Linked DNA regions of Medicago truncatula. The main gene of each other region encodes a partner of the protein of the gene in region 4 in a complex. Links are inferred from orthologs where the notes say so. Each region holds a gene or a part of one and is shown on either strand. Other genes may lie near its edges.

Region 1 (7,752 bases), about 1.5 Mb from region 4:
ACCAGCAATATCAAACAATAAGGTTTCGCTTAAGATAGTATACATCAACATAGTTCTACACAAGTCTGGAAATGCCATTATTGTAAAACTAAACCGCCAAATGACAGAAGATAAGTGACAGCCTCAAGCATAAAATATGTAAATATTCCCAGTGAGATAAAAACGAGAATTTAACAATTCAGAAAAACAAAACCTTGGTTCTTATTTTTAAATCAAATATTTATTTTAGATATTCGCTTGTTATAAGAGAAGTCCAATGATTTTATGGCATATTAAGAAGATAATATGGGATTTGAATAACTCACACATCACTTTAGCAAGACAGAGAGAAGGGGGGATTAATTAGGAAAGGACTTACAAACTAGCCAAACCCAGCCAGAACCAAACAATGTAAGTGCAGCTTCTGTAAACTTTTCTTTGAAATTCGTAAATGATCCAAAATCCTTTTCAATCTGTTGAAGGAGACCTAGTATGGGTATATCACCTCCTCCCGGTTGCATGGATTCCCAGAAGAAGTCATGATTCCAAACCTTTGCGGAAGAGGAAAAAATAATTAGGTACTACAATTCACAGACAGTATTTGAATATAAAAGCACAAAGCTACCACAATTGTAATTTTGTTATTGTTAGTTATTGTAATCCGACGAACAGCCAAGAATAGCTACATGACACGGATTGGGCAGACAACAACAACCAAGCCTTATCCCACACAGATTGGGCAGATAATTTCCAATTTCATGCAAGCTAGGTAAAATGAAAAGAACCAAATAAAAATCATTTATCAAAGAACCAGAAGGAAAAATCATTTATTTAAGACACGTAAAAATGGAAAAGAGTGCAGGAACCACAGAAAGAGTATTCATTTATTTCAACTTCTACCTTACGTTGATATAGTTTCAAACCCACATTCTACAATTAAATACATTATGATTAAATACATTTTTATGGTTTCAGAAGAGTTTCAGACTCTAGGGCACAAGTTTCCAATTATGAATGGGGGAGATGCCAATATTATCAACACTTGGGAGTGTGTATCCTAATTTTATTATGTAATATACACTGAAGCATTTTGAATAGGTTTATGTGGAAAAGTAAGCCGCTACAGAGCCATAATCAAACTTTAAAAGATCAAATCCAGTAAGCTATCAATAAGTCAGTACCTCAGCTGCATTGTTGAACTCAGGTGAAGGATTGCCATTGTTGTATGTCACTTTGACCAGTTCATCCAAGGTGTAACCATAAAGTATATCATCCTTCCCGAGCTGTTTGTTCAAACCTTCAATAAAATTCCGATGATGCTCTCCCCAGTGCACGTCAATTGTCTGCTTACTCATATATGGCTCTAATGCATCCTATGAGTATTGAAGCAACAAATAAAGTTAGAATCATGATATGAAGGTAAGTTACATATTTGAGTTTGTTAAAGGTTGGACTTAATTGCAGGTTTCATCAACGAAAAGGAGGAAATAAATGAATAACAAAAGCAATGGAAAGGACTTAATTGCATGCTGTCATGCCTTTGTCGATCACTAACGTTTTTCTCAGTTCTAGTTTCTTTCTTTATCATTATATTGGTTAAAATCGGAATAGCTATGTAACTAGCCCAAATAAAGCAAAATATGACAATGCAATGTATGACAGCAATGATTTCTCTGATAAGCATTGCGCAGCGTTCAACTAATCCAAGTATATAGGTTAACTTAAAACAGTATATCTCCAATAAAACATGGATTCGGGTAACTATGGTTCACTTACATGTTCGTAGGGAGGGGTCTTCAAGCCATAAAATGCTGTAACTTTTGAAGATCTGGGCAAGACACCAAACCTCTTTTTCTGCTTAAATACAATTGAGGAGGAAAGAGATAGCCACAAATCAGAAAAAGAAGAAAAAAAAATTGCCACTAACCACAGAGAATAAATATTGCTTGAGGAATCAGAAACTATAAAAAAATCAAATTTTTCTAAAACAAGTAGTCCACAGCATAAATGAAACTCATTAAACTTTTCAAAGTGCTGTAAAAGTAAAACTTTAATGACTCAACACGATTTTCTATGTTAAGAAATACTAACAACACACACATAATCTACACACAAACAACCAACACTACAGAGCTAAACTATTTCAAACATGCCTGTTATTATTAATCATTACCTCCCTAGTAGTGTTAAAGCCCAAATTTTAATAGTCAAACATTTTCTTGCAGAAGATCCATATTTATCAATGCAATAATATACCATGATGCTTTCAAGAAAAATTAAACAGTTTTACTTTAGTGTCAGTAGCTACATTTATCAAAGTTAATCGAAAGCCATATATTGCAACTGAAAATTAGGTGAATATAATTTATCCTAAAAGTTAAATGGAAAGTCATGTTTATTAAGAAGGTCATCAGAAAAAAGAGATAAAGAAATTAGAGTAATTCAAAATGAAAATAATTTACCCTGTGAAGAAGCTTAGGAATCTTGAATTTTGTAGATAAGTCTGGTGAAAAGAGACGAGAGCTAGTCGGAATAGGGTTTAAGTAACAGGAAGCCATAGGTACTCTGTTCCAACACCTAGCATTTACATAACCATATGAATTCATAATTTAGCATTCAATTGTATTACTAAAACAGAACATTAAAATCCAAACATTATATTTAAATAAACGTATAAAACTTTGTAAAATTTGGAAGAAAACTGTGTAAGGTGGTTGCAAGCAGAATTTAACAATGTTGACTTAGGCATTTAAACAAACAGTTGATATACTGATGGAAAAACAAAAGGGAGCCAAGTAAGAAAGCGAGGAAATAGAAGAAGAAAAAAGTTGATATATATTAAATAAAATAAAAAAGGAAAAGGAGAGTTACAAGATGCTGAAAACGATGCGGTTGAAACACAAACACAAGCTAAGGTGAACTGAAAGATGGTGGTGGTGATGAATGTCTTGCTTCTTCTCAGACTATTTGCTTTGTTTCTCTGTCAGTAAAAGATAACGTAACCAGTATTCAACTCCGACCGGACACGACCCCGGTTCGGTTCAAGTTAAAGCGGTAAAATTAGTTATAATTTATCTTTTTTTAAAATACTATATAATCTTTTTTTTTTAAAGGTTAAATGCATCTAAAGATCTTTTAAGTTTTTCATTTTGCCTAAAGTCGTCATTTAAGTTTCAAAAATGTCAAACAAGTCATTTTAGTTTTTGAATCGTTTCAAATAAGTCCTATTGTAGATAGCATAATTGGTAATTGGTTCCTTGAACTCATCTTTGGTACCAAATCGGACTCCTAACACCCACTTAAACTTAGTCATCTTTTTAGGCATGACAAATGGTGGATAATACTCTTTGTTGCTATCATCTAAATCATCATCATAATCCTTTAAAATGACTTGTTTGAAACGATTCAAAAACTAAAAGACTTGTTTGGGAATTTTGAAACTTAAAGGACGACTTTGAGAAAAACGAAAAACTTAAAGGACCGTTAGATGCATTTGACCTTTTTTAAATGTATTAATGAACAAAATTTAAGAAATTAGATCCATTTTCATATTTTTTTGAACTCATAAATGGTGATGTGGCACATTTTAAATGAATTTTCATACAACATCATAATGTAGAATTATCATCAATTAAAGTTACCAGAAAACCTCTGAAAAATTATCTTCATCTAATTTTCAGACCAGAAAGCCTCTGAAAAATTTCAATTGAAATATGATATATCACCATTTTAAGTTCATAAATATGATAGAGGGGCCAAACCGAGTGATTTTTAAATTGGGGGGACCGATTTCGCGAGTAATTTTGTCTTATTGTTGGCATTTTTTGAGAGGTGGTTCACACAAATTAAAAGTTTTCATCTCCGGGTTAAGGAGATGATAATGACAAGAGTGTATATACTTATTTTGATGAACTTCGTCATCGGGGTGTATATATTTATTTTGATGAACTTCACCATCTTCTTAGACAAGAGCGTCCACATGTTGATGTGGCGTGCTTGGAGTTATTAAACCTAAAGGGGATTAGTCTATATACACATTTGCATATGGTTGACTTAAATTGGTGGGGGGTGAGTCAAACTTAAAGCATAGTATGTTCACACATGCCATGGATTTTTTTTTTATTGAAACAACAAATTTTATTAAATAGTCAGATTCCGGCTCAAGACGAACAATACCGGTGAAATTGAGCATACAAACGCAAGATGCATCATGTTACCATCTTCTTTTTGTTTAAGTTATTGCAGCAATCCTCTAACGCAAGATCTAACAATTCCATGAAATGCTTCAAGCTCAGTTGTTGACAAGAACAACGATCATATTGGTTGTTTATATGTTGTTTTGGTGTCAATATATTAGTAAAATGTTGGGTCTGAGCTAAGTTAAAGTGGATTCGTAAAGCTATCAATTCATTGCATTTGAACATTGTAAACTGAAAATCAAACCAACTGAGTTCGATTTCTTTCGGTTCGGTTCAACTTTTGAACTAAATAAAAAAATATCAGATGATAATCGGTTCAATTTAATTTAGTTTTTCGATTACATTAGTTTTGTTTGAATCGTTTATTGCCTTATCTATTAAGAGTGGTATGATGACTATTGGCCCCATAAAAGAACAACTGTTGTTGTCTAGATCATCTAAAAAGCGTGTATAATGTTACAAATGATAAAAAAAAAAAAAAAAAAAAAAAATTACTTTTTGTCAAAAAAAAGATACTAATTTTAATTACTTATTAATTTTTCTAAATTTTATTACAAATACAACTCAATTGTAGGCTGGTGTTGTTTGCGAACGCAACTGCAACCACAATATAGCTGCCACATCACGCGGTCCACAATTTGAACATTACTTGTTCTATGTAGATTCTATGACTAAATATTTATTCATTTTTCTTGTTTTGTTTGGGTTGAATAATTTGCTGCTTTGTGCATCCATTGGCATTAAGTTCTTCTACATACTCAAACATTGAAGATCCCTGGGAACATAATGAAGCATTTCTTTTTCAACCAATTTTTTGTGATGTAGGGTTGTGGAAAGTGTAGGGGAGTGTATAGATTGCAAATCAACCAAGAGCAACCGTTGTACTAATTTCCCATTCAAAGTTTCTCCTTGGTTGCCTAGAAATGGGAACACTAGATTCACTGACCTAAACGGAGAGATCATATATCATTTCATGTTTATTTCAAGTTTCAGTGAGTATACCGTGGTTGACATTGCCAATGTACTAAAGATTGATCCACAAATCCCTCCTCATAGGGCCTGCCTTCTCGGTTGTGGTGTATCGACAGGTAGTTTCTTTATCAACGCAAAAAGTAAATTTAGAATATAGATAAGAACAATGATGATGGTCAATTAGGGTCAACTTAATTGGTCGTGAATAAAAGAAATATTGCTTGTAGTAAAAGTTAACCACGTTAATCCAATTCAATGTTTTGAAATCTTATTTAATAGTTAAAACTTGTATTTGTAGGGGTAGGTGCTGCTTGGAGAACAGCAGGTGTAGAGCCAGGGTCATCAGTTGCTATATTTGGGCTAGGATCTGTTGGATTAGCAGTATGGGCTCTCTAAAACTCAGATTTGCCTTCTGTGTCTGCGCCTCTTTATGGTTATGTGTACACTAAAATACTTGTTGCAATTGATTGATTTCTTAGGTTGCAGAGGGCGCTAGACTTTGTGGAGCAACTAGAATTATTGGTGTGGATGTCAACCATGAAAAATTTGAAATTGGTAATACATTGTTTGCTCAATAACACTATATCAACCATTAAGTCCAATATTTTGTTGCTAACCACCCTCATGTTTCAAAGCCCTTCACTAGAAAGAGGTGTTATAGTACTAAAGGTCTTTTAGATTGACTTGTTTGAGCTTATTATTAAGAATAATAATATAGTTAGTTAGGGTACTAGTTTAGTTACTATATAAGTCACAAGGTTGACTCATTTGTACATCTCTTATCATTTGTAATTTTCAATTTTATCATCAATAGAAGTATTCTTTGAGTTTTCTCTCATTCCTTCATTGGATATCATGTTTCCTAACACTTATCTAGTGGCATAAGCACTTCTGAGAACACTTGGAACAACTTTTGACATGTCCTTATGTTGTTTTCAACTTATTTTCGTAACTTCTTCATAGGAACTTATATGATAAACGCTTAAAAATGTTTAATGAATTTATTTATTGTAATCAGAACAGGTCCTAACTAGGGGAATTGTACCACTTCTGAGGCAATTATGCAAGAATTCTGAATTTGATTTCATGTTCCTTTTTCTTTCATTTAATCAGGAAAGAAGTTTGGACTCACCGACTTTGTTCATGGTGAGGAATGTGGAAACAAATCTGTGAGCCAGGTCCACCCTCTTGAAACTTCAATCTTAACTTTGATTTATGATATTGTCTCTTTACAAGAGATCAAATGAAAAGAAAATATAACAAATTTGTAAATTTTGCAAGCATGTTCAAGACAAAATTTTATTTACTAATGATCTGTTAAACTAAATCAGAATGTGGTTGCGTAGCAGATTATCATAGAGATGACTGATGGAGGAGCAGATTATTGTTTTGAATGTGTCGGTATGGCATCATTGGTGCATGAAGCATATGCTTCTTGTAGAAAGGTATAATTCACTCTCTCAAATGTTTCCAACACATCCTCACACTGTCATATAGAGACAGAAATTGATAATGTAATTTTGACTAATCACCCTTCCATATAAAGTTTGATAGACCACTTAAAGTGGCGAGTTCTTAATATTTTTTAGGACGGTCGGAAATAAAACTTGACAAATAATTGTTTCAGCCAGGGATCAAACTCAAATATACCTAACCTATTCGACTTTAACTGAAACATTTTAACCAGTTGCCTTGACCATTTTGCTTCTAGGGTTGGGGAAAAACAATTGTTTTAGGGGTGGACAAGCCAGGAGCTAGGTTGAGCCTCAGTTCTAGTGAGGTCCTTCATGATGGGAAAAGCCTTATGGGATCTGTGTATGGAGGACTCAAACCCAAATCTCATGTACCGATTCTACTTAAACGTTACATGGACAAGGTGCAATAATATTAAGTTCCTTTTATTTTATTTTTGGACTATTATACTCAATAGTAAAATAATAATCAAGTGAAAAACATGAAAGATCAAATGATTTGTGACATTTTCAATGTGTTAAAGTTTTGGCCCTTTGATTAACTGCAGGAACTGCAATTGGATGAATTTGTGACTCATGAGTTGGAGTTTAAGGACATCAATAAAGCTTTTGATTTATTGAGTAAAGGAGATGTGTGATTTGGATGGACAAACGAATGCATTCTTATGTAATACCATATAGCCTTTTTGAATCTAGTGACTTTGATTAAAACAGTACTAAAAATAAGTTTAGAGACCAAAAAATCCCTCTTGTCTATCTAGTCAATCTACTACTACCCTAGAAATATACTTGCGTTGAGAAGACTTTGATTGTATTTAGAGAAAAGCCTAATTCTTCTCATATATCTTAAATGGACGTAATTTTCACTCTTAAAAACTAGCTCAAGTTATGAAGTGTCAAAGCACGTGCATGTATAGATTCAACAATTTAGGAATTTTAACAATGTGCCAGTCCAACATAATATTTAAATGTTTATAAAAATAATTTATGAGTCATTTATTAAAAAATTAATATTGCATTTCATGGTCTATCTAAGCTTGTAAACTCTTTTTTATGGAGATGAAAATCAAAAAGTGTTTAAACATTTTTAAAAAAAAATCAAGATAAATCACTAGGTTGACACCAAAAGA
Region 2 (7,898 bases), about 7.7 Mb from region 4:
AAAAAATAATAAATCTACTCAAAAACTAACAAATAAAAACATTTATAACAACTAAAATGTAAGTTAATAGCATTATAATTACTTACTTGTGATTTTGTTGAATAAATTTGGTTGGATTTTCTATAGAGATTTGTGAGAGAATTTTTTTTGAAGATAAGATGAATAATGGATGAGAGAGCTTCTGCCAGATTTGTAGCAAAAGATCCTCGGCAGTTAACTACCGAGGTTTTCCTCGGCAGTTAACTGCAGCCGGTTTTTAAATTCTTCGGCAGTTAACTGCCGAGTGGGCAAAAACGTATTTTACTCGTATTTCTCAGCCATATGAAATGTGTCGACAACTTTACTCGTGTTTCTCAGCCATATGAAATGTGTCAACAACAATTCTCATTATATAGTATTATATCAATATAATTGTGACAGTTAATATATATTACTATGTATTACTACAGTTAATATGTAGTGCTATCATTTTTCATTTCATTTCTTAAAAGAGAGAAAAATATCAAATCAGAAAGGACTATTAAAAGAGAGGATGAATACTATGAGAAATTGAGAATAGTAATAGTTCTTCCAATGCACAAGATACGGAATTAGATTTCCACGTGCTCTCGATGACTTTGATTTGCATGCATACAAACAACTGCGGCTAACTTAGACAGACATGAAGGCATCAACTGTGCTAAGTGAATCAAAGAAACAAGTTATTATCCCTAATGTAACATCTTAGCTTAAGAACTGTTATCTAAAGTTATGTATAAAACTCTTTCAAATAATGAGGCCCAGGTTTGAAGGGATCAGACTCAGCATACGCCTCTGAACGGTAAAATCCGGCATCATTCACCCGATTACTCAAAACATGAAGAATGGCTTTCTTCTCACCTCCATACTCATCCATGTTGCTCTCAACATAAGCATTGGCCTCGGCTGCTATCTCATTCACAAAATCATACTTATTATCTTCTGATAACAGTAACCTCTCTATGTCCAATTGCAAGAGTTTTCCCTCATCCTTTATCTTCCTCACCTGCTCCTCGAGAAAAGGAATGCGCTCCATTTTGTAGGGAAGAGATTCATCCTTTTTTATCTGCAGCAAAATGAGTTTCTGCTTAAATATTCAAGTTCATCGGGCCTGATACTCGTGAAACCTGTGTCAATAGCATGAATCATGTTCGCCAGCATAACCATTATGCATTCATTCAATCAATACAGTTAGAAATGAAGAAATAAAAGCATCTTGATATGCATACAGCTTCACTATGTGCATCAAGATTCAACGGAAAATGAGTATCTATTTTGAGTGAGAAACATGCCAAATACTGGGAGATGTGCAACCATGATAGAAAGAAGCAAAGACACGAATCAAATTTAATTTGGTTTATCTTTACCACATGAAAGCAGTTATCTTTTTTGCAAATCATTATGTTCATATCGACAAACACCTCAGTAGCAACAACAGTTGGGACATTAGGGAGTCCGGGGAATCATCACACTAGACCAAGAACAACTACATAATTGACTTGGACACCACATTTTAACCCAAAACATTAAGACATTGGGTGGATCCTCTGACACTTGATACACCAACAGCAACTACAACACTATAAAGGTCACATGCATGGCAAAGAATCCGCAAGAGAATGCAGCAAGGTGGTGATATCATGCAAAAACAAAGACATGAAAGCTTAGGCAAAACGACAGGGTGCAAATGTAAATATAAATGATGTGAGAACTACAAAATGTGATCCTTTTATATATCCTCTCTTGGCTCTTCTCCTCCTCATTCCCTGTCATGCTACATATTCCCTTACTGTGTTCTTTAATGAATCACTAGAGACTCTTGTAATACTTTTTCTTTTGTGAAGAATACAACATACAGTTCAAACACCACTTTTTTTTTTTTTTTTTCCTATGTTCCTCCTTGCAGCAACACATTGCAAATTACATCGCAAATGTTGTAGCATGTTTATTTACTTGGAACAGCAAAAACTATAACATACCTTCCAATATTCCCTTGCAGCCTCACATCACAAATGTTATAGCTGTTAATTTGGAACACCACAAATCTATAATCCAGATCGCTAATTCTGTTTCACAATTCCAGCTTACTTCTGTAAGTGTAACATGCAATCCAATAAATCCATCCACTACAAACTCTTTAACCTCTAGTCCCCTAACTTTCCAACTTTAGAATGTTACAATTATAAGTTTGAAACCTTTCCTTTCCGGAAAATGAGGAAACGGGGAAAAATTCAGCGCCTCTTCGCATTGAGCCTAATGTCCCAAGAGAACTACAAACACATTTACTCAACATTAATTCTTCCTAACCCTTCAAGCTAGATATATTTAAAATTAAAAATTTGTAACAATTTAGCCACTAATACTATTGACTACTGAGAAAGTTAGACAACACAATCTTTTCAATGCATTCTTTATTAATAGATGAAATTCATGTTAATTTCATTCATTTTATTTTATTATTATTATTTGGGAAATTTATACAAACAGGTAAGAGGCAAGCATAAAAAGAAAAACATTGTGAGACAAGAAAGATGGATGCAGAAGATACCATTTTCCTTCGCCTCCAGATTCTTCGTCCACCACTTTCCTTTCGCATTTGGATTACCATCTTGAAGAACAAATGCATGAACAAGTTCAGTTTCATGTTGCAAACAAAGAATTCAACAACTTTCAAAGTTATTATATTTATACCTGCGAGTTAACACTCAGGCTCGGGCTCCATGAATTTCCAGCTCTTAATTCTATCTTCTGCAAGAAAATTACAAGATTTTGAAGTAACAGTTTAGAAAAATATAAAGATTTGAAAAGAAAGATATGAAAATTACAGGTAAAGTCGAAGAGAGGGTGAATGTGTTGACGCGGAGAGCCATAGCTGGTATTTACTGTACTTTGGTTCGCCTTATCTCAAAACTATAAAGGAATTTTCTATATAATATTTGGATAAATAGTTTTTTTCTCCAAGAAAAATAATAATTTCCATCCCTATGAAATGAATAGTCATAAATAGTTCATCAATATGTTCATGTTTTAAAATGGTATTTGTGTACTAGTCAAAATAATTTCTAACATTAAGAGTCTCTCAACGGTGTATATAGGGACAGAATCAATTGACATCATTGGGTCAAATTTAACAATACGACACAAACGATTATTCTTTACTGTATAATTTTATTGCAAGACCGATTGTTTGATTGAAATATATTATAACATAAATCATATCTACAAAATTTTACATTAATCAAAAACTATTTGATATGTCAATTAAATACATCAAAATTAACTTGGTTTTCAATAGCTCATAAGACAATAATTTTGTGGTATCAATGAACATATAGAATAGTTTATAATTAATGTAAAATTTTGTACGGTAAAGAGTTATTGTCGATGTCATGTATTAAGTTTGACATGTTGGTGTCAATTGATCATATCTCATATTTTAACAAATGTGCACTTTTTCATTTTTATATAAAAATATCTTGTCAAATAATGCCACTAAAGCGGTTGTTGATAATAATCCTCTATTGGGATTTGTGGATGGTACTAATGTTGTTGATTCTATGCATCCAGAAGACATGGTTGCTCAAGGTAATGAGAATTTGAGTGATTTAGCAGGTACGGGACCCCTTTATGGTCAGGGTAATATTGACATGAGTTTTGATTCAGCTGACATTTTATGTCAAGATGATCATCAAGAGGAAGCAATATTAGATACAATTCCTTTGGGAGGTAACTCCATTGTGGTGACAAACTCAGACTTGTCAAACTTCAGTGCATCTGTTATTCATGACATGCAAGTTTTAGGAGTTGTTCCTACGGAGGCCCAACAAACGGTGAATTTTCTAAGCGAATCATGGGCTAACATGGCTCGGAACAATGAAATTGTTGATTTGGACGAAAATACGAGTCAACCATTTCAATTGGTGGTCCCTAGAAAGAAGAAACTCAAGAAGAAGCAACCTGAGACGGGCAGAGGATTCAAGGTGGGTGCTTCCAGCCGTTCGCCTCATTAGTTTGTTTTTTTTGGCTTTCTTTATGTTTTGGTTTTCTTTTGCTTTTTTGGAGGGTTTTGGTTTTTGTCCCCCCTGTTCTTTGTACTTTTTTCTTTCGTTTAATATATGTTTTGGGTACTGCAGCAGGAGACCCCTCTGCATCCCATCTTTTGCTTAAAAAATAAAAAAAAAATCTTGTCAAAAGTTTAAATTAACAAATCCTCGTGAGCTTATCTCAATTGGTAAAGATAATGCATAATTTATGCATGGATAGGGGTTCGAACTTCAGACACCTCATTTATTCACTTTAAAAAAAATGATTTTTAAACTGTTGAACCAAAAAAGAAAAAATATTAATGATAACTAAAAGACAAACATGTAAGTAAATTTCAATATAATTTACATCCAATTTGCTAATTTACAGCAACTTTATTTATGAACAAAAAGAATTAATGAAACATATTTGTATACATTTGTGTTTATTTTGATTTGTTTCATGTTTATAATTGTATCTTTCAAAATATAAACATGTTTATAATAAAGTAGGTCTAAGTTAGCAAAGTGAATTCAAGTTAACCAATATTTTTTTGATGAAAGTTACAAAATTAATTTTGAGATCAACTTTAATTACGTGGCAGAGTCTAGTTAGATAAATTTAATATCCCTGTCGTTATTAACTTGTTTTATTAAATAATTATTACTTTATATAATATTTAGTTATTAAAATAATTAATTAAAATATTATTTTTATATTTATTTTTTGGTAAAGATCAATATACTGTTATTTATTCATTACAATATTATTTAATTTAATATATTATCATCTAATGAATAAAACGTTATTAATATATTAATTTAATGATAAAAATATTTTGATAATAGATAAAATATTTTATGGAAAATGTTTTAATATTTTTCATCACATCCTTAATTTAGTATATTATTTTAATGATTAAAGGTTTACTAAATTAATAATTAAATATTTTCCATCACATTTTTAATTGAAATATTATTTTCCATCACATTTTCAATTTAATACGTTGTTTTAATAATGAAAATATTTTATAAAGCAATAATTATTGAATAAAACAACTAAATAATTTTTTTTAAAGAAAAACGAATGAATAATGACAATGTCAATAAATTTATTTTTTAAAATTTGATTCACATGTTTTTTTTTTTCTTTTTTGTTTTAAAAATAATTTTTTCTTCTAAAAATTTTAAAATATTATTTATTGTACCAAAAAAAATACACTCTTATAAGTAGGTGTCTCCCCTTTCATCACAAATCACAATCTTTCATACTCAACCTAATACTTTACTCATATCACTTTCTCTAATCTCATTTATATCATGTCTCGTTCATTACGCGTCATGGTTCAATTTGACCATATGAGAGATCCATTTGAAATGTATATAACTCCAAGAAAAACGTTATTAGGGTTGAATAGGCAACTTAGCCACTTTTATAACTTAGCTTGTAATGATCCTTGAAAAGTGACTCGAATTTCTTATGGGGAGCCTTTTATATATTGTTGGGAGATGGTAATGACAATGGCACTGTATATCATGAATTTAAGCTTATCCACAATGATGTTGATGCTTAAGACATGTTTTTGAACGAAGAAGGTAGAGAAAGAACAATTTATTTGTATGTTAAGTCTGAGTAGATTATGGTGGATCTCGACATTATGTTATATTATGTTTATTTATTTAAGTTGATGTAATTTTGCTTGAGTAGTGTTGTTTTAATGTTGCATTGTGTTTTTTTTGAAAGAAATTACATTTCACATTTATTTTGCCTTGTGTGATAATATATTTAATTTGCATACCGATAAATAATAATAAAATGACAAGTTAAAAGTTAATAACATTTATTGATGAGTAAGAATTTTTTTATGAGAATGTATGGTCAGCCGACACAATCCACGTTTTATCACCACTTTTCAGTCATAATGCAATTACTTCGGACGATCTCTTTTTAGTTTTTTCATGGTTAGATTGTGGCAAATGAAGATGCCTTGATATTGGGGCCAGTAACCCGAGTCTTTAACTACTTGAAACTTTGTGTTGTAGATGGCGTATTCACTTCATATCAAGACTACTCACAATCAAGTCACCAAGACCAAAGCTCCCAACAACCAACCAATCAATATTAAGACAACATACAAACCAGCTACCGATGTTGAGACTCCCAACAACCACATGAATACACAAGCCCCTTGAATCATACCCATATACAAGCACAACCCAACAACCACAATGGTCCCAAAAAGTGGTCGACAAAATATTGGGTAATTATCATGCAGTGAACTGTCTCTGGACTGGTTCTACCATTCACAATTGATTGACGCAGTTTGTCGAGTGTCGTCTAAATCAAATTGGAGGCTTTGCTCTAATATTATAAATGGGTCTGTAATATAAAAAATTAAGGGTAATTTGAACAATTAACAATTAAAAAAATTAGTTGGTAATAAAAATCACAAGTTAACACTAAATGTTGTTTTGATTTTAGTTTGCTTTGTTGCTAGTGGTAGATGCATGTGGTCTTCATTAGGTTTCACTTATTTTGTCCATTTATATGAGATAACAAGGGGCAACAAATAGAGGAACAACCAAATATGAAATGGCAAGAAAAAAGATGAACCATAAAAAATAAACAACTAAAGAAAGAGAAATAAAAATGGACCAATAGATAGATAAATCAACCTAAGAAGAAGAAGAAACAATCAAAGAGAATAACCATAAAAAAGAACAACCAAATGAGAAACAACCAAAGAATGAAAAATAATCTTATCAAAATTACATATGACCCAACAAAGACAACAATATAAGAAGAATTACCAACCAAAGAGAGAATCTGATAGAGCGATGAGTAACATAATAAGGAGAGACAATCGTATCAAACAATCATGCTAAAGAGAGGAACCAACATAGAGAATGTAAACAAAAGAAGGGACACTAATCAAAGAGAATGACCATTGGAGAGATGAACAACCAAAGAAGTAACAATCGTATTAATCAATCATAATGGAGTAACCAACCAATTGAATTTCAACCAAAGAAGGAACAATAATCAAAGAGAAGACAAAGAAATAGAAGAGCAACGAGAGAAGAAACAACAACCAAAGAGATGAACCAACAGAGAGACGAGCAATCAAAGAATGAGAAACAACCAAAAAGATGTATCAACATAGGGGAAAACAACCAAAATAAGGGTTTTCAACCATGTTAAAATGCCACGATGAAGAGAGCGACCGACCAACGAAGAATCCATTTGTAAAATTTTACCAAATCAATCAGACAACTTTCCCACAATATAACTCTAAACCAATAGAGAAGCACATTAATATAAGTATAAGCATACCAAAACAAACTCCACAATATAAGAAATCCAAGTTGCAAGAAACAAATTTCCTAAATATAGATAATACCTACAACAACATTTGCAATAAAAAAATTGTACCAAAATAATACCAAACCAGAGAATCACAACAACAAAACTCGTGTTCAAAACAACCAGATTGCATATAATTGTTTATATCACCAACTATTGCAAACTATATATCAAAGTAAGAGATAATCATAAAGCAATCAAATTGTGTGGAAAAACAGAAATCAAAGCATTGGATGAGAATACAACAATGCACTGGACTAGTTGCAAAACGAGACATGAAACCAAGAACCTAAACTGGGTTTCAAAACGAGATCCAAAGAGCTAATATGATCAAATAATGTTTGCAACGACCCAAATTTTCTCATTTCATGCAATGAAAGTTCTTTCGAGCAATTACCTCTTGAATTTATAGCAGTAAAAACTTTATCCAATTTCGAAGATCATTTACTATTATGTAACATTGAATTGCTGATAACAAAAAGTAGCTTATACTA
Region 3 (7,227 bases), on a different chromosome or scaffold from region 4:
AAGTCTATCTAGTTTAGGCCAAACAATATTATAAGAATAAAAACAAAATCTGCACTCAGTAACGTTTAATATAAGAAAGGAATCACGAAAAGCATACTTCAAAGAAGTATAAAGTGATTTACCTCATCTCCCTTTCTTATCCGTTGTCCAGCATTTATAAGAACCTCAAGCATCCTGTCCTTAAAACGCCAATGGAAAAAACAATTTGGCTCAAACGAATGGTTCAGCATATCTGAAAAGCAAGACTAAGTTAATCAGTTACCTCTGTTGTTGTTTTATCAAAAAGGAAAGAAAAACTTTACATCAAATGTGAAATAAACAAGAACCGCTACTATGCATGAGTAGAAAATGATACAATAGTTGGTTAGACCATTTGATGTGAACAAAGCTTACCAGCATAAGGAATCAGCATATTCGCTTGTTGAGTTAGTGCACACATTCTCATTTGCATGTTGATACAGCGTGACTGTGCAATTCCTACTGCCCACATGAATCTTTGAGGATCACGAGCAAGACGTTTTACTTTGAGCGGCACACCACTATGCTGAACAAGAGTAACACCATTTGTTGAGAACAAAAACTAATTGATATGCATCATAGAAGACTAAAAATTTCAACAAGGACAATTTTCTCTCTACCCAGTTCTTCTCCCAGAATTCTAACACTCGTTGTTGCTGAACTCTCATTGTAGAAGCAAGATCGGGATCCTGCAGCTCCAAAAGTTCCTCCTAGATATACAAATCAACATGAGATGTCGTAAAGTGAACTCTAAAACTGTGGTATGTTCCAAATGTAGCTATTCAAATCTTAAAATTACAAGATACATCTGATGCTGGCTAAATATCAACCAATGGTTTAATGATAAAGAAAATCTATTTTTTATGCACCTCTGTAGCTAGAAGTAAGCTAGTACTTTCATCTTCACTGGGTAAGAAGTCACCGTAATACTGCCAAAAGTTGTCTTTGCAGTCAAATGAAAACAAGAGAAGGCATGCTAATCGTAAATCCCAATCTGTCTGCCACAAAGATTTACACAATTACTTTAAGCAGATAACTAGAAAAACTAACGGTTTTGATTTTTTTGAGTATATACAACAGTTACAATACAAATTGGTTAAATATATTTTACCATGAAAACAATCAAGAAATCAATTATATCATATTTTGAACTAATGACTTCAGAGGAGAATTGCAATTACCTCTGGATTTGTTGAGTTGATAATATCAAATATTGGATGACCAAGGGGAATTATATCAGGGAAAAACATCCATGGTAGTTTCTTGCTTATGGTTAGCATCAATTCAAGAGGAATTTCCATTATAACCTGCCCAAGTTCATCGTTAGGGAAAACAGCCTTGGACAACTACTCAGAATATAATCATGAAGAACATCATACAAATAATTAAACTAACATGTAAAATACAAATTAGGAGTTGATTATATGTGCCGTTATTTTCATTATGATGCACTGCCACCAGTCTTACATAGGATTTGTATGAGGCTACTCACCCTTGGTCGGCGAAGAGGTTCGACATCTTTAGAAGCATATACACCGAAACCATTTGGCCCTTCCATAAAATCAACTCCATAAGCTCGCATACTTCTGACGAATCCTATCTTGTAGAAATCAGGATCTACAGGCTCCAACTACAGGAACAAATAAATTAACACAAAGAAACAATATCACAACTCAATATCCCAATTTCATAAAAACAGACGACCCTTTAAAGAATTCATCCAAAAACTGGCCTTATAGGAATGAAGATACTGCATCTCAAAATTAACTTTACTCTATTATACACACAAAAGCACATCAAATTATTGAACCATCCAACATTTTAAATTGCAATCACAGTCAACGTTTTGTTGCAATCTTTGAAATTGCAGAAAACTCTGAGCAATCATGTAGCAGTGAGACTTTAAATTTAAGGCATGTCCGAGTGTCCGACACTGACACGACATTGACATGTGTGTTTATATACAATCACTTTCATCGTCTAAAATTATAGGTGTCTACATGTCGATATCTGTATAATGTCATGTTTCAGTCCTTCATAGACAAATATCATTGATGGGGCCGCAAATGCAGTAACAAAGGTCTCTAAAACTTTCACATTGCAGTTGCAATATCAATTAAGAACCTTTATTCAAAACCTTGGAAACAACATTCACTCACTCAACTCAATCAACCTGTTGGGCATAACTCATAGTTAATGATAAGTGAATAGGTTGCTCGAGCGAAACAAGAGCAACTGGGGTAACATTATAATCTGGACCGTAGTCTTTGAGTACAAGTTGTATACTCTAAACTCACAGAAAGGAATCGCAGCCGCTCTTCTTTATGTAGACATAGGCACAATTGACCGAACTTTGTTACCAAACATCATGTTCCATTTTTGCATTTTTCGTATCTTTATTTTCTTAAACCGAGCTGTTGTTTTAACACATTCCAGGGCCGGCTTAAGGGTAAGACTACTAAAACACTCCCTTTATGCCCACCAACAAAAAGGTCTCATATGCACCCAAAAAAGGTAACATTCTTTTGCATATATAAACTAATTTAACATTCCTTAGTCCTAGTTGTTACTTTCAACCTATAAATAAACAAACAAGGTGCAAAATGGGTTTTTACCTGAGAAGCTGTTTCTTCATCTTTAGGAGGCTGAAACAAGGGAAATGGGGCAGTTTCGACAGAAGCTTTAACAGGTTGTACTTTGTTTTCAGCACAAGAACCAAAAGAGTAAGTGGGTCGCCACAAATAACCATGGCGCAAACCTTTGAACTGTTTAGAAAGTAAACAAGTATTAGTTAAAAGTTATTTGAGATTTGAGAGAAGAAAAAGATGTAAAAATGGAAAGGGAAATGAAGTGAAGTAAACTGAACCTGGGTTTTTGAGAAGAAACTTGTTTGATAAAGTGGAAAAGAAGAAGCCATTGAGTGAACTCAAGAGTGGAAAATGGTAAAGACAACGTTATCCAGCATTTTATGTTCCTTCTAGAGTGATGTCACGTGTTTTTTTTTTTTTTTAAAAAGGCTTAAATGTTATTTTGGTCCTTAATATTTAATTGGAAAATGATATATCGTACGAAAATTTTGAATACGGAATATTACGGACGCGTGAAAACCTGTTAGTGCTACGCGCTGCTGTTTCTTTGTCAAAAACAAACAATATTAAATTAAATAAATAATAAAATCCTTTAATAGAAATGAAAGTGAAACCCACCGTTCACCAAAACAAAAACATACAGAAAAGAACCCACGTTCACCACTCCCGCAGCAATTATCTCATCTTTTCCGCTAATCAAAGAATCTGATTGACATTCAATCTCAATTGTTGTGATATAAGGTCGTCGTTCTCTTTTTCACGCTCTTGTCTCTTTGAATCAGGTCTCATATTCATTCTCATGTAACTCTGTTTTTGCTTACCATCATAGCTTCCATTGATTCATAGCACTAAAGCAGAGTATTTCAGTTTTAATTTACCTACAAGTAAGTATTTTGTGTATTTGTTGTTTTTATAGATTATTAGAAGGAATTTTGTGCCGATTGATTGATTTTTCATTTACTTTACTGTGTTAGTCAATTAATATAGGTTTTTTTTCTTCTTCTAATTTGTTGTGTTAGTGCAAAAAGGATTTGAGTCTTGTGATGAATTGGAAACTAATGATTGTTTAGAAGCAAATGGTACTTGTGAAGAAGAAACACCTTGTGATGGGATGTCATTCGGATCTGAAAAGGAAATTACTGAGTATTACAAGAATTATGCTGAACGGGTGGGTTTTGGAGTTAAAAAAATAAGTTCAAAAAAAGGAGATGAGGGGAAAATGTATTTTACTTTAGCATGTAGTCGAGCTAGAAAGTATGTGAGTCGCCCAAAGAATATGTTAGAGCCAAATCCTATAACTCAAACGCAGTGTAAGGCTAGATTGAATGCGTGTATTTCTTTAGACGGAACAACTAAAATTAAAAGTGTTTTTTTTGAGCATAATCATGATCTAAGTCCAGGGAAAGCAAGGTATTTTAGATCGAACAAGAATATAGGGGCACAAATGAAGAGGAGGTTAGAACTCAATGACCAAGCTGGGATTAATGTAAGTAGAAATTTCCGATCCTTTGTTGTTGAAGCAGATGGGTATGAAAATCTCACATTTGGAGAAAAAGACTGCAGAAACTACATAGACAAAGTAAGACGACTACGACTTGGGACAGGAGATGCTGAAGCAATACAAAATTATTTTGTGAGGATGCAAAAGCAAAACAGTCAATTTTATTATGTGATGGATGTGGATGATGAAAGTCGGTTACAAAATGTGTTTTGGGCAGATGCAAGATGTAGGGTTGCATATGAATATTTTGGTGAAGTCATAACTTTCGACACCACTTACTTAACAAATAAATATGACATGCCTTTTGCTCCTTTTGTTGGAGTAAATCATCACGGTCAGTCTATGTTGTTGGGTTGTGCTCTGTTATCAAATGAGGATACTGAAACTTTTACTTGGTTATTTAAGACATGGTTGGAATGTATGCATGGAAGTTCTCCAAATGCCATAATCACTGATCAAGACAGAGCAATGAAGAATGCAATTGAGATTGTCTTTCCGAAAGCTCGTCATCGGTGGTGCTTATGGCATTTAATGAAAAAGATTCCAGAAAAGTTTGGTAGTCACTCTGACTACGAGTCTATCAAAACACTTTTGCATGATATTGTATATGATTCTTTTACCAAAAGTGATTTTATGACGAGGTGGGAAAATATGATTGAGTGTTACAAACTACAGGATAACGAATGGTTGAAAGGGTTATTTGTTGAGCGACATCGTTGGGTCCCTGCATATGTAAGGGACACATTTTGGGCTGGAATGTCAACTACACAACGAAGTGAAAGTATGAACTCGTTTTTTGATGGATATGTAAGCTCAAAGACAACATTGAAGCAATTTGTTGAGCAATATGATAATGCATTGAAAGACAAAATTGAAAAGGAAAACATTGCTGACTTTCGTTCTTTTAATACAGTTATTTCTTGTATTAGTCACTTTGGCTTTGAGTTCCAATTCCAAAAAGCATTTACCAATGCAAAGTTTCAGGAATTCCAATTGGAAATAGCTTCTATGATGTACTGTCATGCATGTTTCAACAGATTGGAGGGTTTGGATTCAATATTTTATGTTACAGAAAGTAAGAAAGTATATGACACGATGAAAGATATTGTGTTGATGGTGTTCTTCAATGAAAAAGACTTTGTGTTAAAATGCACCTGCTGCTTGTTTGAATTTAAAGGCATTTTATGTAGGCACATCCTTTGCGTGCTTAAGCTCATAGGGAAAACAGATTTCGTGCCATCTAATTATATTTTGGCACGGTGGAGGAAGGATATAAAGCGGAGGTATACACTTATTAAATGTGGTTTTGATAATTTGGCTGGAAAAACTGAATTGCAACGCGTGGGTAAAGCTTGTGATGCCTTTTATGAGTTTGCTTCAACGAGGATAAATAGTGACGATGATTTAGTGAAAGTGATGAAATTGATTCAAAACATGAAAATTGAGTTACCATGTAATGAAACATCTCCTAGAATTGTAGAAGAAGATTGTTCAACTCAAAATCAAGCTACCATTCTTGATCCTAAACTAGCTCGAAGTAAAGGGCGTCCTCCTTCAAAAAGGAAGACTTCTATAGTTGATCAGATTGTAAAGAAGAAGCTTGCACAAAAGAAAACTAAAAAAAGAAACCAAAGTAGTAAAAATATTCAAGTTCAAGAAGAGGTGAGTATGAAATTTATAGCAAGTTGTTTATATTATAGGTATAATAGTTGAGATGTCTAATTTAATAATTTTTATGGCAGGGCCAATGTACATCTAGAGGTCAAGAAATTGAAGACGAAGTGTTTTACATATCTCAACTTGGTGATAGAATTGGCACACAAGAGAGCATTCAAGTAAACAAAGCATATACTAAATATTTTAGTGTAAATATTTCTATGTAAATATTTTAGTGTGAACATAGTTCTAAATGGTTGAATGGTACTATTTATGCAGTTGAACACAGTAGTGTGTGTGTGTACATGTGGGTGTGTCTAATTATAGTTTTTTTTATGACAGGGACTAAGATTGCATGTAGTTCAAAATACTACAAATGAAGAGTTTCTTAGGTATCAAATTTTTGATGGGACTGGGACACAAGACAATATTCAAGTAAACCTGATTTCTTACTTTCATTTAATTAAAAATGATTGGCCTTTTGTTATTTGAAATATTCAATATGATATTGCATACTATTTATCTATGTTTTTGCATGTTAATATCTATGACAGGAGCATAACTATGTTTGTAGCAGTGAAAATGGTAGTGTGAATACTGTAGCTTCCTTCAATCCAAATCAAGAACATTTTGGTCAAGTAAACAAGGTGCAAATATAGATTTTGGTGTTGTCTTGTTTTTATTTGACATTTTTATAATGAACATAAGTGGTTAATTATATATTCTTTGCAGGCTCCTTATTACTCTCGGGTCACAAAACCATAACACTGTTGTTTTTGGTTTGAACTGCTGTCTGGTTTTTCTGCAATCAAGGCATGAGGGTCTGCAGGATTGTTGTTTAGTGATTGTTGTTCTGCTGTTTAGTGTTTGCTGTTTTGCTCAAGCAAGTGTGCGGCTGCTTGAAATTGTGTTGGAATATGCTGTTCTGCTGTTTAGTGTTTGTTGTTTTGCTCAAGCAAGTGTGCGGCTGTTTTGGTCAAGCATTATTGTTAGATGGAATGGGTTGTTTAGTGCTAGTTGTGTGCTTTTTTTTTGGTTCAGTTTTGTTGCTGCTTCAGTGTTTTTTACCCTTTAGCAGCAACCAAATTTGGAATATAAAGCTTCTGTTTTTAGCTTTGTTATGGGTGGTTTTGGTAGGTGGTTGTATTAGTGTTCATGTGTACTCGTTACTTCTTGTTTGATTTTATCCGCGAGATTTTCGTGTTCCTTACACAATCTCGACGAGAATAATTTGCCGATTAAAAAAAATCTATAGCTTTTATTTGGAAGGAATATCATGTTATTGATGCCAAAAGAAATACTAAAGAATATTAAAACTTGAAGTACACAAATTGATGTTAGATGGACTTTTTATTGATTGACATGTATAACATAGACATGAGTAATATTACATTGCATGGATAGTCTTAACAGACCTCCTAAAATCCAAATGCCAATTTAAAGCACCATCATAGTCCCACAACT
Region 4 (7,885 bases):
ACAAGGGTAGACCTTTCTTAGTACCAAAAATGGATGAATAAAAGAAAGAGGCATCAAACACCGAGGCCAGAGGTTAAACATATCGCCCCCTTCCCTTTGGAATGGGGTGAGCAATAAACTGGAAAATTGGATACCTGATGTGGGGATACCAACAGAAACTAAGGACAGTGCTTCTGATGGGTAAGTGGGAGCTTGCCCCAGTTGTTGCACACAAGAGAGAGAAAATTCACCTTGTATAATACAATTTGAGCTAGAGTTCCTATTTCAAAACGTGAACATAACAACATGAAGAAAAATGCAGCACCAACTAGTTTCCTATCGATGGGTAAAAAAACTACAATTTGGCAGGTAACAGTACAGTTAAAGGCACCATCACTGTATTATCAAGTATATAAGGTAAGTATTAAGTGACAAGTATGGAATATTCTCAACTAGTGACCGAAATACTCACCGTAATTTCAACAATGACTGTCATACCCACTTTTATGTGATGGCGAATCCAAAACCAATCATTGTTCTTTATAGGAACCCACCTAGAACACGTTACAGTAGATGAATATTCCAGAAGAAAACTTGCATAAAAGTAAAAGCTAAAACAGTGGCACTGAACAAGATAACAATGGTACAGAAGTAAAGTCTATAAGTTACTCGTGATAACAGTATGAAGTACTGCTGGTACACAGCAGCAGCAAACAAAAGAAAATATGCAATAACCCATGGCAGCATATAAAGAGAAAACAATGTCTCCTAGTCAAAGATCAAAGAAAGAGAAAACAATCTCAGTGTTGAATAATTTTCAGTAAACTGGGCTACCACATGATACAAAAGAGACAGTATGATTTCCCTGTAGCTCTAGTCTGTAAACAACCAGTACTTTTTTTTCTAACAAAAAAATGCATCCAAAGTCTAGAGATTTAACAAGTCTCAGGTGTGTTTCTCTAGGTACTTGTTTTGTTTCTGCCATGGCTTTGGATATAATGAAGCATTTCAGTGCTGGTACAAATGCTTGTGAAGATGCTTTTCCCAATTTATTTTTGCACCACATGATATTGATTAAACATTCTAAAGTTATAGATATAGTTATTAATTTAGCAAGAATATCATTGTGGAAGCAACTCAATATTACTTACTCCAGCATCCAAAACAATGAGGAAATGAACACCCAATACAGAAAAAGTTAAGGGAACACTTAAAAGATGGACAGAGGGATTGGTATGTACCCATCGTATACTCCGCCAATGTCAACAAATGCCCCTTGATAGAGATGCAAAGTTGTCACCTTCCCCACACAAATCTGCAATGAAAAATTATCATGTAAGCATTTATGAAAACTTGAATCTCAATCCTACATATTTATTTATTAAAAATTATGATACAGAAAAAGACTGATTTTAACTATACGAATGAAATGAAGCCAAACAAAAATAGGATCATCTATTGGACTACATATACAGTTGTCCAATTAGAGACATCATGATTGATCAAACCAAAAAGAAAGAAAAAAGGAAAAAAAAAACTGTGACAACGTGATGCTGCCATTAAAGGGTAAATTCAGTTATTCATAGTTTTCTTAAACAAAATTTCCAGTCAGCAATTTAAAAATGTAATATGCACGTTGTCATAACTGAAAAGATCACTGTACATGCCTATTGAAGACTAGCCTAGTCCCACCATATGAAATCAGTTTCTTCCAAGCAGCAGAAAATGATAGAATGCAATGCTTGCCCGTGCGTATAAAATTATAATAGCAGTAATTCGAAACAACCAGGTGAATATGAAAACACACTAATACCATAGGAAATCTTAAGAACACGATACTGATAAAAAGTAAAGCATCGACTTTATAGACAACAACAATACAATATAATCCATAATGAGTATGAACTAAGAATTGTGAAATAGCTTACTTGGCCAGGATAATAGAACGGTAGCTCGTACTGCAAAAACCATTTAAAAAAACAGTTAGCCCCAGAACAAGTTTGCTTTCTCACATTCCAAATACATACAAACATAAAAAAAGAATCGTGAATTCATCATATCCTACCATGCCATCCTTGTAATCCTTGCCTCTTTTCCTCCTACCAGGGTGATAATCTTGGTCTAACTGTAGCATTCACATCACAATTAGCATTAGCAATTAGCAATCAACATAAACCAAATCAAAAAACTATGAATGCACATTGTAATAATTTAAACAAGTATGAAATGAAATTGAAGAAACCTTATAGGATTCCTCTTCCAATAAATCCTTATTAGCTTCCAACCATTCATTGTACTGTTTCAAAAACACCTTATACCTATCCAAACACACATCATCAGTTTCAGTTCTAACACCATTTTCAATATCCTCCAACCTCACCCTCTTTGCCTCCATCTTATGCGCTTCACGAATAAACGCGAGCTCTTCACGATCCACCTCCCACCCTCTCGGCGGCCAATCCCTCGGCGGCACCAACTTCACCACCAACGGTCCTGCCCACTTAGTCTCCAACTCCTCCGGAACATCTTCCTTAATCTCAAATTGCTTCGCCAAATATTCCTCTTCTGTCACTCCCATTTCCTCAATCTTCTTCTTCCTATACCTAGGGTTCAACATTCTAAAAGCTTCAATCGACTCCGGTGAACTGAGAGGAACTTCTTCACCTTCGTTGAGACTCGTCCGCGCGAATTTGGCTTCAGGAGTGAGAATCTCTTCCCATGGAGCCCAGCCACGTTCGATCCAGTTGCGTCGTCGTGCTTCGTCTTCGGATTCTTTGGTTTTAGGGCCGAAGGTTTGGAGGAAGGTTTCGTCGACGGGGAATTCATCGGAGGTGAAGGATTTAGCAACGGTGGTGAGGGGTGGTTTGCGGTGGAGTAGAGGTGGTGGATGGCCGTGAAATAAAGGAGAGGGTTTAAGGTTTAAGGGTTTAGGGAAAGTGAAGAGATAAGAATTGGGGAAGACTTGCATTGCTACACTTCACCACCTTGCTTCACAAAACTAACATTGAGCGGATAGATAAAGTTCAAACATTTAATGAGGCAACTGCCCTTGCCTAATATAAATATGTAAGAGATAACTACATGCTCCATTTGTTAAATTTTCGATATTCATCATTTAGTTTTTAATGGAGCGATGAACCAGTCTTTTATGTCATTCATTTGTAATAAGTTGATCATTTAAGTTTTTTCGTACCATTTAGATCTTTAAATTATTTAATTTTAACAATTTAATAAAATTTTGATTGTAGAAAAGTAAGTTATTTGGTGTTTAAAAGTTACGATTAAATAATTTAAAAGATCTAAAATGTGTGAAAAAACGTAAAGACTAACTTGCTACAATTAAATAACTAAAAGATGTAAGTGGTACAAAAAAAGACTTAAAAACCCAACTTGTTATAATTAAATAACTTAAAGAATCTCTAGTGTACTTTAGCTTTCAATTTAATCATCTCACACATACGTCTCGATTATAAAAAAATTAACTTTTTTGATTCATTTAATAACTAATTTATAATTTTAATGATTGCCCCTAGAGTGCTCTTTGAGACCTTTAAATAGTAACTTTGTTCAAAAATTTAATCGATGCATTGAAAATTGAAATATTTGATTTTTTTTGTGAATATTTTTTTCTTTTGAAATCCCTAAAGAGCGCCAATACATTACTACTCCCTCCGGTCCTATTTATAAGAGAATTTTGGGTCAACAAAAGTTGATGTATCTTGTTAAAAATTCAGTCCAAATACATTCACTTTTGTTGACCTAAATTTCTCTTATAAATAGGACCGGAGGTAGTATTAGAGACTAATACATTAGTTATTGAACGAATCTAATTTTTTTGTCATGTAAGCACAACTCAGTTGGTAGCTACAAAGACAATATTATGCAGGGGCCAAGGTTCACCAAACTCTCTACTTCTTCACCTTTAAAAAGTGTGAGCTCCGACCACTAGGCTACTTAACAAAAAAAATAATAACTTTTTCTTATAATTGAGATTGGAACGGGTATTCAAAAAACGTAAGAATAGTTTTAAGTATTCTTATCAAGTATTAGTATTGCATTGTAAAATAGATCATTCATTTGAGATAATTTTTTTACAAATATGTCACTCGTAGTGGGTCGGAAAGCGTAATTAATACAAATATGTGTGATGTGCTAAATTAATTTTTTTGGTCATGCTATTTTGAAAATCTCAAAAACCTCTTGAATGGTGAGCACAGTTTTTGTGTGTTAAGCATCCGATTTTTAGGAAAAGGAGACTCAAGTTCTTCCAAATGATTTATCTTAAATAAAGCTCATTAACCAATCATGTGAACACAATTTAAATAAATTTGATTTTACTCTATTTTATTTTTCATTTATGACATAGATAAACACAAGCAATGGTTTTTTTTAAGGATCCACTAAATAAAATAAATCTTGAGTTGACATCCTCTCGATCTTAAAATAAATGGACAATTTTAATTTCAAAACTACTTAATTTGCTTCAAAATTATATGAATGGACAACATTTATTTTATGAAATAGAGAGATTCCAACAATCCTACTAATGCATCTCGTGTCAACATTTATTGACAATGAATGAAGAAAAATAAATTTACAATAAATAATTAGGCGCCACAACTCAAGAATTATCCTCTATATGTAACTATTCTCCATCCCATTTTAACCCAAACTTTTGTTTATTTTACACATATTAAGAAAAAGTGTATAAGTATTAGTACATTCCTTCTTACCATAAATGTAAAGTATAATATATTAAATTGAGAATGATAAAAGTAGTATTAATTAAATTTATAATTGGTAAAATGTAATTATTATTGTTTTGAAAAGTAAAATGAATCAATTTTTCTGGAACAATATTTTTTTGCGAATGATTAACTTATGACGGGACGGAGGAAGTACCGATTAATGACAATTTCGATGTCTAAAGTTCAATAGCTACCACAAGTGACATATAATCTGACCACTTAATCATTTGGTCAAAAGTTTGATTCGGATGTCCAAAGGATACTTCGTTTACCAAAACAAAAACAAAAGAAGAACTAACTTCTAATAGACTTAAATCCATCTTTGACCTTCTAACTACACATGTTTTTTTTTTTTTTTTATAAAACTCGGTATACGATCCAAAAATCGCTATTATCTTGATGGATCTAAGTCAAATTTGCATTCAAAGAATCTAACAAAACAAAATATGATGGTTCCACGTTTTCTACTTCAATCCATCCCCAAATCAGTAACGTTGAACCTCGTATTATTCCAAACAGGAATATCAGTTTGTCCTACGGCGCCAAATTAAGTAGCTCATGTGCTATTTCATATAATGTGATTCTTTTTTAATGAGAAGATACACTTTTTTTTTTTGTTGTTGAAGGAATGAGAAGATACACTTATACATTGAAGTTTGGATGCTACATCTACAAATTTTGCCGGATTAGTATATGTTTGAGAATAATGGGGAGACTACCAAATTGGAAAAGGGGAGAGTTTGGACACTAAAATCACATTGAAAAGAAATACGGAACTAAAGCCATACAATCGTGATATTTAGAGGACCAAAATGAACTTAAGCCCTTCTAATAATACTGCAAAGGTTTGTATCCATTTGCCATCTGCATTTTGAAATAATTTATCTTTCACTAATATGATACAAAATACGTGAGGTTATAAGTAGCCAGGGGAATAGGGAATGCAATCAATTAATGAAACATTAACTCCTAAATGATTATAAATGGAAAAATATCATCCTTATGATACAGATAATAACAAACTAGCAAAGAATAACCATCTATGCAAAGGAAATGATTCCTCTTCCTCTGGCAAATTTGACAGAGACTAACATTCCATGATGATGTTTAGCAAAAACTACAAGTGGGGACATCATCATCATGGCATGCTAACCAAATGAGAATTTAGCTTTATTTGTGTACCATTTTCAAGATTAGAATTTAGCTTCATTTGTGTAGGTTTTCATTAACATTTTTCAGCCAAATGCCAAGTTAAAAGACAACGTCAGAAAAATTGGGAGCAAGGACTGCAGAGTGAGCACATTATCTTCAATCAAATCCTTGACCGTAAACTTTAACATCATGGATGTCAACATATGGAACTTGGCAACAAAGAGGGATAAACTTTATCTAATCATTATACCAAAATCAAAGATCACCAGCTCCCACCGGAATCTCTGAGAATAATCTTGGCCTTAGTAACAAAGTTCCAAACTATGGAACCTGAAATCTTATACCTTGACAGTAAGTAGTTTGTGGTTCCCACACCAGGTTTCCAAGCATAGTAATGTTGACTTTTGTAGTCATTCTCACACCTAAGCCGCAATTTTTTTCTAGCCAAATTTATATCACATTCCAGCATACTTGTAGAGCAAAACAAAATCTTTGAAACACAGAAACAAAGCATGTAAATCTCAATAACTCATGAAATTCCCCTGCTATCCATCATATTTGAATTTAGTATTGATTTATGCTCATTGCCCAAATGAATTCGCTCATTTCCAAAGTAAATGATCAAAATGCTCCTACGCATGTTAACATGCGCTGGTACAAATTATAACATAACTTAAGATAAGTAGCGTGACTTAACATGCGCTAGTGTTATTTGTGAGTTATTTGTTGAATGCTTAGCGCAAGTTAACATGCACTAGTGTATTGTGAAACGTGAGTTAACTCACGTTGCCATTTGCACTAGCGTGAGCAGTGGCGGAGCTAGGAAATTTATGGAGTCCGGGAAAAAAATTAATCGTAAATTCACATGTGACATAATATATAAACAGTCATAAATCAAAAAAAAATTATTTTTTATTTTTTTTCCTAAAAAAAATCGAAAAAAAGAGGTTTATCATTTTGTCAACAAAAGTGCAATTTAAAATAGGGTTATTAATTGAAATTGACCACGTAATATACTTGAACTCTGAAAATTGACCCTGTAATTAAATAACATGTATTCTGACCATGTAATTCGAGATTTTTATTATTTATAACCTGTAATATACGTGAAGTCCAAAAAAGCAACCGAGAGATTGAATTTTTTCATGATTTCCTAGAGGCGAGTTAAGAACGTTAAAATATGGCTTTAACAAAAAAATTATAAATTTTCGACAAACGACAAATTAATTATGAATTTTTAAAGTGTCAAAAGCTCAAAAAACAAAACAACAGAAATCTCGATCTATAAATCAAATTTTGAGCTCATTATTTGCAAAGACATCTATAAAAATACATAAAAAGGATATGTAAAGTTTCATAGCATTTCGAAGTCGTTTAAATTTATTTTGATTTTTCAACTGAAACGTGCAAAATTGAAATTTTGTTCCGCGTAAGCGTGTACTCAGAAGCAAATTTAGTTCCCTAATTTTGTAGGCATGACTAGAACATGATAAGAACCTTCACAATGAAATTTTGTAATTTTTAAACGAGATATAAATTAATTATAAATTGTTTAAGAAATTCATAATTATGAGGGAATAAAAATTCATAATTAATTTCTCCCTAGTCGAAGAAATTTAATTTTGTGTAAAGCTATATTTTAACGTGCTAAACATGTATGAAAAAAATAGTGAAAAAATTCAACTTGTTGGTCACATTTTTAGACTACACGTATATTATAGGGTGGTCAAAATTAAATAAGAAGAAATTCAAGTTACAATGCTAGAATATATGTTTTATATTTTATTGGGTCATTTTTCAAACATAAAGTATATTACCGGGTAAATTTGAACAATTAACCTGTTAAAAAATAAGAGAGATGAACCCATCAATAGTGTGCTAAATAAAATTCCAAGACCTATTTGCGTGTGATAATTTTCATATTGCCCAAATTTTTCTTTTTGTAAATGTGTTAATGGACTTTTTGGTTGAATTTAATGTGCAAAAATTATCGATCGAGTCCGGGC

The links.
Region 1: the proteins of protein PLASTID TRANSCRIPTIONALLY ACTIVE 10 (region 4) and superoxide dismutase [Fe] 3, chloroplastic are in contact, whole or in part, in a cryo-EM structure (PDB 8XZV), measured with the Spinacia oleracea proteins. The link is inferred for Medicago truncatula from reciprocal best matches to the Arabidopsis thaliana genes PDE312 and FSD3. Residues at the interface, in XP_021866326.1 of Spinacia oleracea: Arg80, Lys81, Trp84, Val85, Trp89, Pro91, Glu156, Leu158, Arg177, Asp178, Arg188, Glu192, Arg195, His198, Lys199, Ala202, Arg204, Tyr276, Pro277, Tyr314, Trp315, Glu329, Leu331, Arg346, Asp353, His354, Leu355, Leu356, Phe357, Arg359; in XP_021853685.1 of Spinacia oleracea: Tyr59, Tyr60, Gly61, Leu62, Lys63, Lys64, Pro65, Pro66, Leu100, Asp104, Leu106, Tyr107, Gly108, His109, Thr110, Lys116, Val117, Tyr119, Asn120, Tyr121, Gly122, Asn123, Glu142, Lys194, Ser204, Asn205, Arg258, Gln260, Ala261, Phe262.
Region 2: protein PLASTID TRANSCRIPTIONALLY ACTIVE 10 (region 4) and protein PLASTID TRANSCRIPTIONALLY ACTIVE 7 share a complex: the UniProt entries of both Arabidopsis thaliana proteins name them as parts of the transcriptionally active chromosome (TAC) complex. The link is inferred for Medicago truncatula from reciprocal best matches to the Arabidopsis thaliana genes PDE312 and PTAC7.
Region 3: protein PLASTID TRANSCRIPTIONALLY ACTIVE 10 (region 4) and protein PLASTID TRANSCRIPTIONALLY ACTIVE 14 share a complex: the UniProt entries of both Arabidopsis thaliana proteins name them as parts of the transcriptionally active chromosome (TAC) complex. The link is inferred for Medicago truncatula from reciprocal best matches to the Arabidopsis thaliana genes PDE312 and PTAC14.

Annotation. Positions count from the first base shown.
Region 1 is NC_053044.1:39,103,530-39,111,281, forward strand, and holds the start of superoxide dismutase [Fe] 3, chloroplastic, read right to left. Parts: upstream 3,014-7,752; 5' UTR 2,851-3,013; intron 2,557-2,850; 5' UTR 2,538-2,556; coding exon 2,442-2,537; intron 1,834-2,441; coding exon 1,756-1,833; intron 1,353-1,755; coding exon 1,161-1,352; intron 531-1,160; coding exon 359-530; intron 1-358. Other genes in the region: alcohol dehydrogenase-like 7, read left to right, coding at 5,152-5,266, 5,449-5,531, 5,630-5,705, 6,264-6,328, 6,500-6,595, 6,862-7,026, 7,171-7,260. UniProt on the Arabidopsis thaliana protein: Destroys superoxide anion radicals which are normally produced within the cells and which are toxic to biological systems. Plays important role in chloroplast development, particularly in the maintenance of thylakoids membranes.
Region 2 is NC_053044.1:45,255,511-45,263,408, reverse strand, and holds protein PLASTID TRANSCRIPTIONALLY ACTIVE 7, read right to left. Parts: upstream 2,993-7,898; 5' UTR 2,889-2,992; coding exon 2,844-2,888; intron 2,767-2,843; coding exon 2,710-2,766; intron 2,627-2,709; coding exon 2,567-2,626; intron 1,085-2,566; coding exon 749-1,084; 3' UTR 519-748; downstream 1-518. UniProt on the Arabidopsis thaliana protein: Essential for chloroplast development, especially for thylakoid formation. Involved in plastid gene expression, probably by maintaining plastid-encoded RNA polymerase (PEP) activity.
Region 3 is NC_053043.1:15,106,315-15,113,541, reverse strand, and holds the start of protein PLASTID TRANSCRIPTIONALLY ACTIVE 14, read right to left. Parts: upstream 3,018-7,227; 5' UTR 2,936-3,017; coding exon 2,885-2,935; intron 2,784-2,884; coding exon 2,634-2,783; intron 1,649-2,633; coding exon 1,511-1,648; intron 1,326-1,510; coding exon 1,200-1,325; intron 1,017-1,199; coding exon 888-1,016; intron 729-887; coding exon 639-728; intron 545-638; coding exon 394-544; intron 233-393; coding exon 123-232; intron 1-122. Other genes in the region: protein FAR-RED IMPAIRED RESPONSE 1, read left to right, coding at 3,490-3,490, 3,626-5,769, 5,850-5,942, 6,106-6,198, 6,318-6,410, 6,496-6,528. UniProt on the Arabidopsis thaliana protein: Essential for chloroplast development, especially for thylakoid formation. Involved in plastid gene expression, probably by maintaining plastid-encoded RNA polymerase (PEP) activity.
Region 4 is NC_053044.1:37,564,143-37,572,027, forward strand, and holds the start of protein PLASTID TRANSCRIPTIONALLY ACTIVE 10, read right to left. Parts: upstream 3,017-7,885; 5' UTR 2,948-3,016; coding exon 2,222-2,947; intron 2,105-2,221; coding exon 2,045-2,104; intron 1,938-2,044; coding exon 1,908-1,937; intron 1,295-1,907; coding exon 1,221-1,294; intron 534-1,220; coding exon 452-533; intron 1-451.